2 linked regions of the Lepisosteus oculatus genome follow. The protein of the gene in region 1 purifies or fractionates together with the protein of each later gene. This does not show direct contact. Links are inferred from orthologs where the notes say so. Each region holds a gene or a part of one and is shown in the gene's direction. Other genes may lie near its edges.

Region 1 (6,939 bases):
TCTGGCCACTGTCCATCCAGTCCAAGAATCTCATCCAGCGGCTACTGAAGGATACCAGGATATCTGCTTCTGCAGCTCGATCCACACTCCCACCACCCTTAGTGTAAAGAAGTGCCTCCAGTTCCCGGTTCTAACTGCAAATCCATGCGGTTTCCACTTGTGTCCTGTGGTTAGTGCTCCAGTGTTGACCGTGAAGGAGTACGCAGGCTTGACTTCTTTTCGAGTAACATCAGCGGGAGGGGATGCAATTCAACAGAGGCCCCCCTTTCAGTCGTGCGGCATGTGAGGGCTGAGCCTGTGAAAGCCCTCAGTGGACCGGAGACTGCAGGGAGAGGAGTCTGGGCTCGGCACACCTCTCCAGCACAACCCCACACCGTGACGCCCTTTACATCCCAAACTCTAATTGACACCCAGGGGCAAATGTGGCATTCCTAATGCTTCAGTAGTAAACCTAATAATGAACTAATTCCCATCATGTCTCTATGTGCAACCATTAGAGGCCTTATCAGCTGTCTAGGGCGGGTCAGCTGTCACTGCAGGCCTAAGTACAGCACTCCGGTCCGAAGAAGAGCCAGCCAGCCAGTGTGACCCCCGTACTGAGCCACGTAGCTCCCTGAGTAGCAGGACTGGGCTGCCAAGTGCTGTATTAACCCTAGAGAGCAATGCTCAGATCAGGGACTGAACCACGGCTTCAAAACGGCTGTATGAACCCCCACATCCCCCTCTCTCTTTCAGTACTATGACATCTCTGCAAAGAGTAACTACAATTTCGAGAAGCCCTTCCTCTGGCTGGCCCGGAAGCTGATCGGTGACCCCAATCTGGAGTTTGTTGCCATGCCAGCTCTGGCCCCCCCTGAGGTCTCGATGGACCCCTCTCTGGCGGCGCAGTACGAGCACGACCTCAAGGTACAGGCTGGACCAGCAACTCTACTGTGTCTCTCCTCCAGTCTCTGCTCACTCTGCTGTGGGCACTGTGGGGCTCACAGTGTTGTCAGTGAGAGCTGTGTCTCTCCTCCAGTCTCTGCTCACTCTGCTGTGGGCACTGTGGGGCTCACAGTGTTGTCAGCGAGAGCTGTGTCTCTCCTCCAGTCACTGCTCACTCTGCTGTGGGCACTGTGGGGCTCACAGTGTTGTCAGCAAGAGCTGTGTCTCTCCTCCAGTCACTGCTCACTCTGCTGTGGACACTGTGGGGCTCACAGTGTTGTCAGTGAGAGCTGTGTCACTCCTCCAGTCTCTGCTCACTCTGCTGTGGGCACTGTGGGGCTCACAGTGTTGTCAGCGAGAGCTGTGTCTCTCCTCCAGTCACTGCTCACTCTGCTGTGGACACTGTGGGACTCACAGTGTTGTCAGTGAGAGCTGCGTCACTCCTCCAGTGACACTGCTCGCTGCTCACTCTGCTGTGGGCACTGTGGGGCTCACAGTGTTGTCAGTGAGAGCTGTGTCTCTCCTCCAGTCTCTGCTCACTCTGCTGTGGACACTGTGGGACTCAGCTCTCAGGTTAGTGTCAGATGTCACCCACTGTGTTCCCCCTGATAGCTGGGCTTCTTTTCAGTTGGTGTGTGATGCCAGACTGCGAGCTCAGCACTGCTATGTGGACCAATACAGCCTTTCCAGAGCTAGTGATGGCCAGGAGTCCAGGCAGCCATGTTGGGCAGGTGTTTGCCGACATGCACACTGTGGTCAGATTTAAGTCACCCCCTACTTCTCCCACTTAGGGACTTAATTCCCAAAACAAGGCTCAGTCTGTCGGTGATGGTTCCAGCTGTGGAACGAGTTTGATCTATAGGTGCCCGTGTTTGAGAAAAGAGATTTTTAGTCAGTCTTTCCTAAGGACAGAACCTTATTTCCCGAGTCATTATGAGCCTAGTCATGTTGTCCTTTTGCTGTCGCGGGCCACAGGCCGTTCGGTTGGGGAAAGGCGGTACGAACCCCGGAATGAACCCTCTGGTACGCCAGAGCCCTGGGTATGGGAATTGGAAATCCAGCTCCCGTTGCTCAGCAGTTTGATCCGTTCCGAGTTTTAATGCTGACACCTGCTGGCTTTTGTACACACTGCATTGGTGAAATAGGCCAATGGAATAATATTTCCTGTTAAAGCAGAATAGCTCATATTAATGCGAGATACCCATCAGTGCTTAACTTGACGTGCAGTACAACATGATGCAGTTATGCGCTGGGTCCACTAGGTGTCAGCACTTGTTCACTGTGAGCTGCAGTTTTCCCACTGTGCATGCAGAGCGCTGGGGCACTCTTTCTCACTGGGCTGTGACACGTGTTTATTGTATCCTCTTAGGTGGCATCGGAAACAGCACTACCAGATGAGGAGGATGACCTCTAACCTGTGACCTTTGACCTCTCCAGAGGAAGCAGGAGATGTCTGGGAGTCACAGTGCTCTGGCTGCACTATTACCTTTACTGTAAAACCCAGTCTCAGATTATTTTGATTTTTTTTTTTACTTTTTTCATCTTGAAGAATGCAAGTTTGTTGAGAGAGTGCAGACAAGCAGTATGGTACAGGACAAACAGTGCTGTACAGACAATACAGTAAAGACAAATACTTCACAGGCTGTCGTGCTGGCAGCAGATTGCACACGGAGGAAGAGTGTGGATGCTGGGAGATACCGAAAAATGTTTAAAATATGGATGCACTTATTTGAAAAAAGTTTGAATAAAAACTGTCTAAATTTATGTTCTTGAATGTTTCCTGGTTTCTTCTGTCTAGTTAGATGAGTGTGGGTGAGTTAGATATCTAAAAATGTGACTTCCTGTTGGTGTTGGAGGTTCCCCCTCCCAAGACTAGTGGTCCTGGAGGATCAGTAAGTGGTTCTGTATCCTCTGGACCGTGATGCCCAGGCCAGTGTCCTAGTATGGTGACCAGAGATACTGTGTTGTGGGCTGCTGTTCTTCACTTTAATGTTAGATTGACTGGTCATTACAGACCCAGGACACTGTCAGTAAGAGTAGGGGTGATAACTGTTCTTGAACTGAGTGTCTTGGTCAGTGTGTGTATCTTTATAGACTTGAGAAACTGTTGTAACGTGATCTGTGAAGGAAGTGGTGAAGTCAAGAGCAACATTTTGATCTCTGAGTGAGATAGAGGCTGTTGTGAAAACTAAAAACTTCACCTACTAAAAACCTACCAAGCTGTCTCCAACCTGAACATTTTACAACAGTTTTCTGACTACTATTCTGATTCCACGCAATGATTGGTCTCCATATCTCTACAGATCACAGTATTAATATGTACCATATAGTCCAAAATAACCCTCTAACTATCCTCCAGACACACTGGACACTACAGTATGTTAATACGGTACAGACACTGGACACTTCAGTACATTTACACTGCACTGAGAGAGAGGGGTTAATACAGTACAGACACACTGACTGGACACTACAGGACATTAACACTGCACTGAGAGAGAGGGGTTAATACAGTACAGACACACTGACTGGACACTCCAGTACATTAACACTGCACTGAGAGAGGGGTTAATACAGCACAGACACACTGACTGGACACTACAGGACATTAACACTGCACTGAGAGAGAGGGGTTAATACAGTCCAGACACACTGACTGGACACTACAGGACATTAACACTGCACTGAGAGAGAGGGGTTAATACAGTCCAGACACACTGACTGGACACTACAGGACATTAACACTGCACTGAGAGAGAGGGGTTAATACAGTCCAGACACACTGACTGGACACTACAGGACATTAACACTGCACTGAGAGAGAGGGGTTAATACAGTCCAGACACACTGGACACTCCAGTACATTAACACTGCACTGAGAGAGAGGGGTTAATACAGTCCATTAACACTGGACTGAGCGTCGCGGTCCCTTTAAGATGCAGGCAGGTCGGCTCCCTCCAGGTATTAAACGGGTCCGGGTGTGGTGGCGTAAACAGGAATTAAAAGGTTCAGCTCCACGGACTGGGCATGTGCGGACGGCACAGCGCTTCTCTACAAGACCGCAGAGAGAGAGGGAGGAGGGGGAGATTAAGCGCAGGGAGCCTAACTGCTGGTTTAATCCCCTCTGAGCCGATAGACTCAGAGGACCGGGGCCACCGACAGCGGAGAACCTCCATATTGCAGAGCCGTAACGTTTAAACCCAGTGAAACGTCACGACTCGCAAAAATAAATCAGGAGAAAAGTTCGAACGATCTTCCTGGGAAGAAGAAAGTTCTGAAAACTCCTGTCCTGTCTGGACTTAGTGCTTAAAATATTATAAATAACGGTTTTACTGTTTTTGGTCAGTCGGTAAGGAGAATTTTTCAACTTTAAAGATGAAAGACCGCCTGGACCAGCTCAAAGCGGTGAGTATAATTCCCTGTTTTTCAGTCTTTTCAAATTCACTGAGCTTTGTGTGCTGTATAATGAATCACACTGTTCCTACGGCAGTAACAACAGTTCTTATGTAATATTGATGTTCGACTGCATTGGAGTGACAGTGGATTTAATTTTAGATGATTAAACTGAGGGTTTCAAATATATGGATTGTCTCTTGAGAAATGTTAAACATCCAGCTTTTGTGTGTTTTATTGTTTATTTAAACAATCCAGATCCAGAGCCTGTCGGCGTATCCTCATCGGTATAACCGGTTTCACGTTAATCGATACTGGGTATCGGTCTCCTCAGAAACAAACAAGCGAGAGAGGGGATAACGCAGCGGGCCGTCCTTTGGGGTGCAGAAAAGCGTTTTTATTTATTAATCTTTTTTTATATATACATCGGCGCAGTGCAGACGATTATCACGGCTGTCGTGTCGTGTTCCGGGGTTTGGGACGGAGACGCTCAGTTGCTCAGCCTGTTTCTGGCGTGCCGGTGTGTTGAATTCCGAGTCTGCCGAGCCCCGGTGACACCTGTACGTCTGCGCCTGTCAGCTGGCCGGGAGACGGGGGAGGAGGAGGGGCGAAGGACCGATTAAGGAAGGACACAAGGCGGTCTGCAGTCGCTGGTGCTCAAGGACACTCTGATAGCTGCTGGTCTCTCGGCGCTCCCGCTCACACCCGGCCGGGCAACAGGCTGCGCGGCTCCCCGCACCCCGAGTCTCGGCCCCCCGCCCCCACTCCCTGTCTCCGGGCCGCCCCCGGCGCCGTTGCCCCATCTCGCTGCTTCTCCGCCGCTCTCTCGCCTCTCCCAGCCCCGCAGGTGCGCCTGTATGTAAAGCAACGCGCCGCCGCTTCCATACTGAACCCGCTGAGGGGTGTCGCGCTGGAACCGGCCGGTCTGCCTGGTGGGAGGAGTGTACTGGCTCACACACACACACGTAGTATCTGGCCCCCACGACGGGCGGAGAGGCAGACAGGAACGCGCCGGGGTCTGAGTGCTCTTCTGTTACAGCCCCCCTACTGCAACGGGATTATCCTGCTGTACTTGCGAAAGTCCACTTTGCAGCTGATCTTTGTCCATCTGGTCCGTTTGGTAGCCAGCAGTTTATTGATCGCAGGATTGTGTCCAGCTGTGTCTTGGAAAAAAGTCGGGGTATCGCCTTCAACAACAGGCCTGGGCAGCTTGTTCCACACTCCCACCACCCTTTGTGTACAGAAGAGCCTCCGGTTCTTAGTCCTAGATGCTCTTCCACATACTGCTGTTTCTGCCGGAGTCCTCAGGCTGGTGCTTCACTGTTCATTCCAAAGGGGTCTTCTGGGTTCAGTTTGTCAGAGTCGTGGAGGATTTTGAAGACTAAAGATATCCAGTTCCTTCAGCCTGCCAGTGTAGGACTTTCCTTCCACCCACAGCATGTCTCTGGTTGTCCTTCTCTAGTCTGGTTCCGGAGCCGCGGTGTCTTCTCATTAACAGAACCAGAATAGAACAATATTCTAAATGTGGTCGTACGTCCTAACAAGTTACACAGTTTGAACACAACACCCCTTGACTACGGATGTGGAGAACTTCACAATACTTAGTCTTTAGCTGTGTATCATAACTCTTCGTTTGTCTTTTTAACTGCTTCCTCACACTATTCAGAAGAATATTCACACCACAGCCTGTTTCACAAGTAGCCACTTCTAGCTGAGTGGTTCCCATTTTGTGTTTGTATTTTGTTGTTATAGATGCATGTAACTCTTTATCTGTAAATCCTACTTCCTTTGTAGCTACTACAGGGTTTGCAAGCCCTCTGATACATCTGATATACTATCTGTAAACATAAATAGTTGACTAAATATGCAGTTGTGTGCAAAACTCTGTTCACCCCCTGGTGAAGTCGTATGTTTTAGTGAATCCCTAAGTGAAAAGAAATTGACACGACCTCTGCGTGGTGCACACTTGAACATGATATATTTCTGCACAATTAGTATCTATTTACAGTTTTGTAGATTTTCCTAATAAAATAATATGGCGAATATGGCACGTGCACACATTTGGGCACCCTGTCTGTCCTTTGTAACATCCTGATTGGCCGAAATCACAGCTTTCAAACGTTTCCCGCTGCCAGAGAACAGTTTTTCTGTTCGAGCTTGTGGGGTTTCTCCCCTCTCTTCCTTGCCGAACGCTCCCAGGTCAGAAATACAGTAGTGTACAGTGGTATTTCTGAGCTGGGAGAGTGTTCCTGAACCCACTGCATGACTGAGATCCCCGCACAGATTTTAAAAACGATTCCAGTGTGGGGACTATGAAGGTCATTCCGAAAGCTTAATCTTTCGTTCCCGTAAGAACTCCGCGGCTGATTTTGAGGTATGTTGCAGACCAGTGTCCTGCTGAAATATCCTCTTCTCAACCTCACTTTCCTCGCTGCCTCTGGGACATGAGCTTCTAGGATCTGTTGGCACTGAGCTGGGTCCATTCTTCTTCCACTTGTTCGCTACTTCCTCTGCCCAGCTTAACGGCGGGCAAGGGGCTCTTTTCTCCAAAATCTTCACCTGTTTTTCTCCAAACGTTTCTTCTGCGCGTTGCGGCCAAAAAACCCAATTACCATTTTGACA
Region 2 (7,699 bases), on another chromosome or scaffold:
CCTTTCACAACCACCCCCAGCGCGTTACCTTTCTGCTCACTCCCAGGGCGTGCGTGTGCATGCGTGCGGGGGTGGAGAGGGAGCTCTCCAGAGCAGAAGCAAAGCTCTCTGCATGGCAGCAGAACCCAAAAGAAAATTACAACCCGTCATGAACAAAGATCGCAGATCCCTGAAACGGTCTTTCTCCAGGTACCATTTTGCTCTGCAGCCTATATATCCATGTGTTCCTCATAAAATGCTTTTGTCAATTGCAACTGCAAACCTGTCTCCGTGAAGGACCGTACGGGCAGCACCAGCTCCCGAGACAGAAGAGAGCTGGAGAGAGAGAGAGAAAGAGCAGGAGCCAGATTCCTCACACAGCTGTCTGAACAACAAGCACCAGACTTCAATCAGCCATGTCGGCTCTGGGGTTTTGCACATTTAACAGATAATTGCCCTGCTTTTTTTATGTACTGCCAGAGCAGCAGACCCGGGGGTTGGGACTGTTCTTTTAAAAAAAGCCACATAGTCAAGACTATGTTGTTTTTCTGTGCATAAATTAGCCTCAGAGCTGGGGGGAAAACTCACTGCACAAATAAAAGCAGACCAGGATCACCAGGTGATCAGCTATACTCTGTGTCTTTCTGCAGGTACATGATGCTCTACACTTGTTCTTTGTATTTTTAGATGACCTCTTCTACTTGGACGGTCATCGTTCTGGAGCTGGGCTGGGGGAAGGTGCTTAAGGGTGTACAAACTGTGACAAATGCGCTGCTCCCAGACTCTGGGAACAACAGCTGGTCGGCTCCTGCAACCCAGCGTGTAACAGATTGAAAACGGAGGCCCCTCTATGGACCCCAGTTAAAAACCCATTATCCCTCTTCCTGCTCCAATGTGCTCCTCTAAAGCAGCTAATACAATTAGGAGCAAAAGGCGGTTTTGTTTCTGTGGTCCTGGGCTTCCTGCCAGAAAAAAGGGCTCTGCTCCGAGGCTACACACTGTCACCAGGGATCGTTTCATAATCTAATTTTAAAAACTGAATTCTGCCCCCACTCCATAAAAATGAGCAGAACTATTCACCAAAACAAAAAAGACTGAAGGGACCACGGCACTGCGACACAGTGAAAGGCCTTTTTCTGGCCGGTCAGGCTGTCACTGTGGAGCTCACGTACGCAGAGCAGCCAAAACACGCTCATGCAGCTCTGCTGTGCAACCTCTCCAAGAAGAGCACCAGGGACATCAAAAAGAAAAAGCCAAAATAGCCATTTCCCAACTATGGAAACAGACCCCATTATCTCTCTCTGCGGATAATAACCGTCTGCTGCAGAAGGAGAGAGAGAAGGGCTGGATCCACACAAAAACACTTGTGATGCCAATATTAACACAGGGCTCCACACAAAGAAAGCCGACTACCACATAACCAAGAACAAAGCTTGATTCACGCTGCTCAGAGGAACCGGTGTCTTCGTGGGCTTTCCTGGCAGGTGGGGAAAGTCTCTGCAACAAACACGCCACAGAGCGTCCCACGAATGAGGGGGAGCTGTGGTGTTTGGGAGCCCCCCAGAGACACACATTTGCCTTCGTCCATTTTCGTGGACCCCCATTTCGATTTAACATGCCAGCCTTCGGTGAAATGAAACAGCAAGGGGATTAAGAGCACAAGCAAAAACTAGATATTTTTTGCGACGTGCAGATCTGAAAATTGTTTTTTTGTTTACAATTTCAGATTGTCCCCGTGTCACCCGTCAGGAGTCTGAGATCACACACGCACGCACACACGCACACAGGCACTCACCTCGTGTCTGGATCCGGAAGTTAATCTTACTCTCTGAGGGGTGAGTGATGCTGTACCCACAGAACTCGACTTCGGGGCTGTGCAACACAAAACGCACATGAACCCGGCGGCTCTTTAACACGTCATTGACTATTTTCAACACAGCGACACACGACAAACGTAGAGGTCGATGCAATTGAAGAAATACTCCACTGCACAGCCATTTAAAACATTCCGGGGTTTAAGAGCTGCAGTCTCCCACACGTTAAGGCTGTGCTTGATACCGGAAGTCCGAAAAGCTGTTTTGAGCTCAGCCATGTATCAAGTTAACATATTACAGTATATGAAACCAAAGAAACCATCGGTACAAAAGCCAGCGGCCAGTATATCTGAAAGCGATTGTCAGAGCGCTTGTGCACCAGGACTCGGGACCTCCAGACAGAGAGGGGAAACTCACTTTTTCATGACCATGTAGCGCAGGGCATTGCCCAGAGTGTGGTCCTCGTCGTGCAGCACAAACGTCACACAGGAGTCATCCCCGCCCTCCGCCTGCACCTGCGGAAGACAAAGGGCACCGCGGCAATCAGGACCTCTCGGAAATCACCAGGCGGCCAAAACGACCTGCAAACAGGCTGGGTGAGGCGACTCGCGCTGGTGTGCGCATCCTGAGCGGAAGTCTGTTCGCCGACCACGTCTGTGTAAATGAAATGGCGTCACCTTGCTTAAGATGGGCAAAATGTGGCTAACGCACTTTAGGGATACACGATAAAGTGCCCATCCTGCTGTATCCTGGCATTTTTGCAGTTTGGATCCTTCTGCTGCTCCTTTTTCAGGACAACAAGGCCACACTCTTGCCCAAAGCACCAGGATCTGCATTTAATAATCAGAGTGCCGAGCAGCAGTGTGAAACCCTGATGGTGGGATGTCTCGATCACTGTCCTTGTGGCCCCGCTGTCTGATGGCATGACTCTTACTCAACCCTTGGTCAGCCAATCAACCCCTTGTTCGGGGCTCATACCCGGATTCATTCAATCTTTTTGATTTCTGCTCTGAAGCAGTGAGAGAAATGAAAGGCTAGGAGCCGAAAAACCAGGCTTCACAATTTCCCAAGCCGGACGATCGATGAAGGGCACGATGAAGGGGGAGCCCGGCTGTGGAGATACCCAGAAGACTCCTTCGGCTCACGAGGAGCTGGAACGGAAAGCCCAGTAGTAAGCTGACAAGCGCAGCGAGCAAGCTTTCATAGCGAGTACTGCGGCGATTAAGGATGAGGTTTTGAGGAGGGAAAGAGAGGCACCTCTGGGCCTAAGAGAAAGGGCAGAATTCAGGTTTGGCTGCAGCTCTAGCCTGCCTGACTGGAGCTGCACGTGAGGCCTCTGTGATCCCCTGTGGTGGAGCATGTCTTTTTCACAGGAAGGCCTCTGTCTGCCCAGACAGCTACAGAAACTCTATTCCCTGCTCCCACTTTTCAAGACAACATTCCAAGTCATTTTTAGGAAACGTGGAAAAAAAGAACACTATGTACTTAAAAGCAAAAACAGCTAACAAAACATGTTTAATACCTTCAGCTCTTTTTCAACGGGAGATGGAATTCAGCCTTTTTTGTGTGAAACTGGGAAATCTGGGTGTTTGAGCTGGGTGGACGTGATAATCCCCGCAGATCGCAGGAAGAAATCACAATTATAAGGATCTGCTGGTCAGCGGCAGCACTACCTCCGGGTGCCCCCTAGCTGGTAAAAGGTGGTATCGCCGAGAAAAATGAAAACACTCTAGAAACTTCACAATTTCACACAGAAATAATTCTGCAGCGTACAACTCTCCATCGTCTGGAAAGTTGTCCAGACATACAAAGTCTCCCTAGTGTGACAGAAACCGTACTTCATTTTCATTTTATCCAGCCGATAACGAAATTATTTTTGTTGTTCGTCTTATCCTTCAGATATTTTTCCCAAGACGCTTAAGTAGGTTATAGAGAACAACTGGCCATATGAAATATAGCTAGTATACCGTTTTAGGCTACGGGAACAGTTAGCTTAGACAAGGACTGCCATAAACCCTGCTTTCTCAGGTAGTGGTCTGTTTTCTGGGGGGTTTTGAGAGTCGCGCGGTAAATATGGGACATGAGATAAGATTTCGGAGAAACAAAACTCGCTAAATCCCTGCACATGATGCTGCAACTGCTCCTTTCAGTAAGATTTTTCACCGAAATCGGTTCGCTCAAGGAAATCACAGAATTTCCCCAACTGACAATTGCCAGAGTAGACACGTTGATGCCAAGTTCGCCGTGACCGTATTTTAATTTCAAATACCAGACGCAAATCACACCCCACTCCTAAAATAGACTATGGGCTTGTGCATTGAGTTTATCGCATTTTCATTTAAACGGTCACTCAGAACAGTACTCACCACTTCCAGCACAGGTCTCTTCTCATCCTCACCGGTGGCCATGCTTGTTACCGATCTCCTTTGGCGCACCAATGTGACGTATTAGACAGGGCAGCGCAAGGAAATGTGGGTAATGTAGTGGAATTCCACTACACGGACGCCTTCTTAGATTGTCTCGTTTCTAAAATGTTTACTGCCAAGGCACAGTGAAACAATGTTACATCGATTGTAAAATCCACTTTTTAAAATCGACTTACAGTTACATAGTTAAAAAAACCTTCTAAAACAAGAACCTTGTCGTCCCAGAGAATACAAACGGGGATTAGAGTGAACTGATTTAAACGGATACATCAAACTTAAAAGTTTTTCTAACTTCCGAATGATGCCTTTAAAACCGCTTCACTCGCTCCTTACGTGTTGTTTTGTTTGCAGTAAGTTAATTTCCAAAGGCAGCTTCGAGTCAAATGTTATATTTTGAGCCCGTAAAGTCTTTTTCCCGCAGCAGAGGTTGTAAACTACAAGCCCCATGATTCCAAGGGACAGACGAAAGTGGTCCGTCAGAGGAGCACCAGGTGACTCAGAACTGGGAATTAAAAACATACGTACGGACGGGAAGGATTACGGAAATATACGCTGTTTTTTATTTTAAAGAGGGCCGTTCCGAAGGTAGTTTTCACGGAAGGCGATTCAGAGGTACAGTACGGGGCACGATTAATGGCGGTGTGTTACGACGGCTGTATCGTTGCAATCTACGGCGTATGACATGTCGGAGAAACGGAGGTGTCTGTGTGTATAGAGGTCTCCAGAATTGAAAGAGAAAGCTGACAAAATCATGTTAGAAGAGCTTTTGGGGGGTCCACGCGGGCTGTCTAAAACACAGCGGAGGTCGTTTAGGAGCTATTGAAATAGACTTTAGAATATGCTCTTATTCTAAGGTAATTCATGTTCCGAGCTCTGGCAGATAACGCGGCTTAAAGTGGTACCGCAGTGTAACCGACACTGTTGAACAGTCAGTGTGAGACTGTTAACACGGTCTGTTCCAGCTACATGGTGAAGAGCTGATGGTGAAATCGGCTCTTGTGGTTACAAGACGGGGGGCTGAAACGATTTGGGAACTTAAAATACTCCTTTCCGGATCGGAATGACGTATAGTTTGCAGGAACATGTATTTCTGAAATCAAACGGTTTTTTTTGGGGGGGGTGCATTGGAAAAAGTGTTGTTTAAATTAGCACGGCGTCGCCGGCGTGCGCGCGCGGCTGAGCGGTGGATCCCGGGGCAGGTGGGCAGTTAGCGTGCGTTTGCAGCCCGGAGTGAGCTGAGGTGTGGGATTCCAGGGCCGGTGTCTTCCGTTCGCGTTACACTGGGCAGCTCTGAAGCCCGGAGACGGGTGTTAATCTCAGCCGGCGGTCAAATGCGCTTGTAAAGGTAGCCGGCCTGTTTCAACAGCTGTATGGGAAATCCTGTAGCCATACAAATGGAATTTTGTATCCATACAAGTGGATCAGGTCGGATCATACCCCCCTGACCAGCGACCGCACGCACCTGGGCGGTCGGTGTGCACAGTGGCACGCAGCCAGACACTGCCCTCCGTCCTCCAAGGTGAAGCTGGAAGGGTTTACTGGCCCGCTAGTCGGTACCTGTGCTGTGTTCAGAGCTGTATCACATGCCTTGTGTCACATGAGCATTCCTGTGCCCCAGTACACACCCAATGGGGTAGAATGGCTTAGTGCGCTCGAGCCCAAGCAGGTGCTGGGTGAGCACTGTGAACCGTGGACCGGGGGCCAGTCCGATTCATGACTGTCGAAGCTGGTAGTCAGCCTCGGGTGACATTTGAGGGCTTCTAACCTACAGAGCGCAGTAGTGGGAGTGGCAGGTCATGGGGAGGGGCAGATCTCACTGTAGCTCGACTGGCTGCTTCCCTGTTTTGTGACGCCGGAGGCCCGGGTTTGATTCCCCAGCTGGCAGGGCGCATACCCACGTGAGCCCGAAAGCGCTACATTACTAGGGCGGAGCAGTGGTACTGTGGCTAAGGATCTGCGCCTGTGGCTGGAAGGTTGCCGGTTCAAATCCTGTGGCCGGCAGAGGAATCCTACTCCTACCCTGAGCAAGGCCCCTAACCCCCAACTGCTCCAGGGGCGTGGTATAAATGTCTGACCCTGCGCTCTGACCTCAAGCTTCTCTCCCTGTCTGTGTGTCTCATGGAGAGCAAGTTGGGGTATGCGAAAAGACACATTCCTAATGCCTAATGGCCAAATTCCTAATTGTATATGCCAATAAAGTGATCTTATCTTATCTTACCCTCACACCTTTCTCCTTCTGTCTTGTGTCTCTGATGCAGTCAAGTGCCCCAGCCTCGCTTTCCGTGCTCCCACCCCACTCGCACGCTTGCGGGCTGCTTCCCAGTGGTTTCTCCTCCGCAAGCCCCCCCCCGTCCTCATCACCCCTCCTCCTGCTCCTGTTGCCATGGCGATCCTGTTTGCGGTGGTGGCGCGCGGCACCACGATCCTGGCCAAGCACGCCTGGTGTGGCGGGAACTTCCTGGAGGTGACGGAGCAGATCCTGGCCAAGATCCCGTCGGAGAACAACAAGCTGACCTACTCCCACAGCAAGTGAGTGTCCCTCCCGTGCCGGCCACCAGGGGGCTCTGTTCCGAGTGTCTGGCTGCCAGCTTGCAAAACTTGACTTTTGGGGAGTGCAACAGCCCTCTGCTGGGATTGGAAAAGCACTCTTGCTTGATCACTTCCCTAAGCCTAACACCTTAGGAGCATTGTTTTCATTGTCAATTGCTTCTTATCCTATATCTGCCCAATTTGGAGTTGCCAGTTGTGTTGTTATGCCTAACTAACTACCTTTTACGATTAGGTTAGCTGTTCCTAAGACTCAGCCCACTGTGGTGACCCCATACAAGGACAGTGAGAAAGTGCTGGAAGGTTTCTCCAGCCCTACCCACCCGCTGTAGACTCGGCCATAACGTACAGCAGGTACCGCCTCGATTGGAGGAGAGGCGCGCGCCCTTCCTGGGCGTCACCACAGGCCTGCAGGGGTCGCTGTTTCTCCTGGGCCCGAATCATCCCACCCCCACCCCACTTGGTGCTCAGGCAACTGCGTGCCACCTGCTGGGGAGTCCAGTCACAGCCAGCTGGTTCCATCTCCCGGTCTGGATCACAGAGCTCAGCCTGCAAGTGCCTTTTTCCCACTCGGGCACCTTAAGACCATTTTTTTCCACGTAGCGCAATCCTCACGGGGCTCTGTGAATAATTCAAAACCAAGAGTAACGGATGGCTCAAATGCATACTCAAAAAAGTGAATTTAATATTCACCCTGGTTTTTAATTCCAAGCTGGAACGGCGCTGCGTGGATCAGCCAGAAACAAGAGCTTCTCCAAGCTGCCTCTTGAGGAGCGTGGACAGCTGTCTTTCAGTTTCCGCTTCAGCAATGCTTACCTAACGAAGCCTGAGTGGCTGCCTGCGTGCACTGTTTTCACTTCCCCTTCTCCCCTTTCTTTGCAGCTATCTCTTTCATTACGTCTGTCAGGACAGGATCATTTACCTGTGCATCAC

Evidence for each region. The genes of interacting proteins can lie anywhere in the genome.
Region 2: the proteins of stx3b (region 1) and sybl1 purify together in Homo sapiens (co-immunoprecipitation; 3 studies listed by BioGRID and IntAct, with this or other methods). This does not show direct contact. The link is inferred for Lepisosteus oculatus from reciprocal best matches to the Homo sapiens genes STX3 and VAMP7.

Annotation. Positions count from the first base shown.
Region 1 is NC_090701.1:42,419,652-42,426,590, reverse strand, and holds the start of stx3b (syntaxin 3b), read left to right. Parts: upstream 1-3,917; 5' UTR 3,918-4,299; coding exon 4,300-4,329; intron 4,330-6,939. Other genes in the region: GTP-binding nuclear protein Ran, read left to right, coding at 736-906, 2,294-2,338. UniProt on the Homo sapiens protein: Potentially involved in docking of synaptic vesicles at presynaptic active zones. Apical receptor involved in membrane fusion of apical vesicles.
Region 2 is NC_090703.1:47,620,245-47,627,943, reverse strand, and holds the start of sybl1 (vesicle-associated membrane protein 7), read left to right. Parts: upstream 1-4,678; 5' UTR 4,679-4,831; intron 4,832-6,477; 5' UTR 6,478-6,602; coding exon 6,603-6,748; intron 6,749-7,648; coding exon 7,649-7,699. Other genes in the region: polr1d (DNA-directed RNA polymerases I and III subunit RPAC2), read right to left, coding at 1,775-1,851, 2,211-2,308, 4,160-4,201. UniProt on the Homo sapiens protein: Involved in the targeting and/or fusion of transport vesicles to their target membrane during transport of proteins from the early endosome to the lysosome. Required for heterotypic fusion of late endosomes with lysosomes and homotypic lysosomal fusion.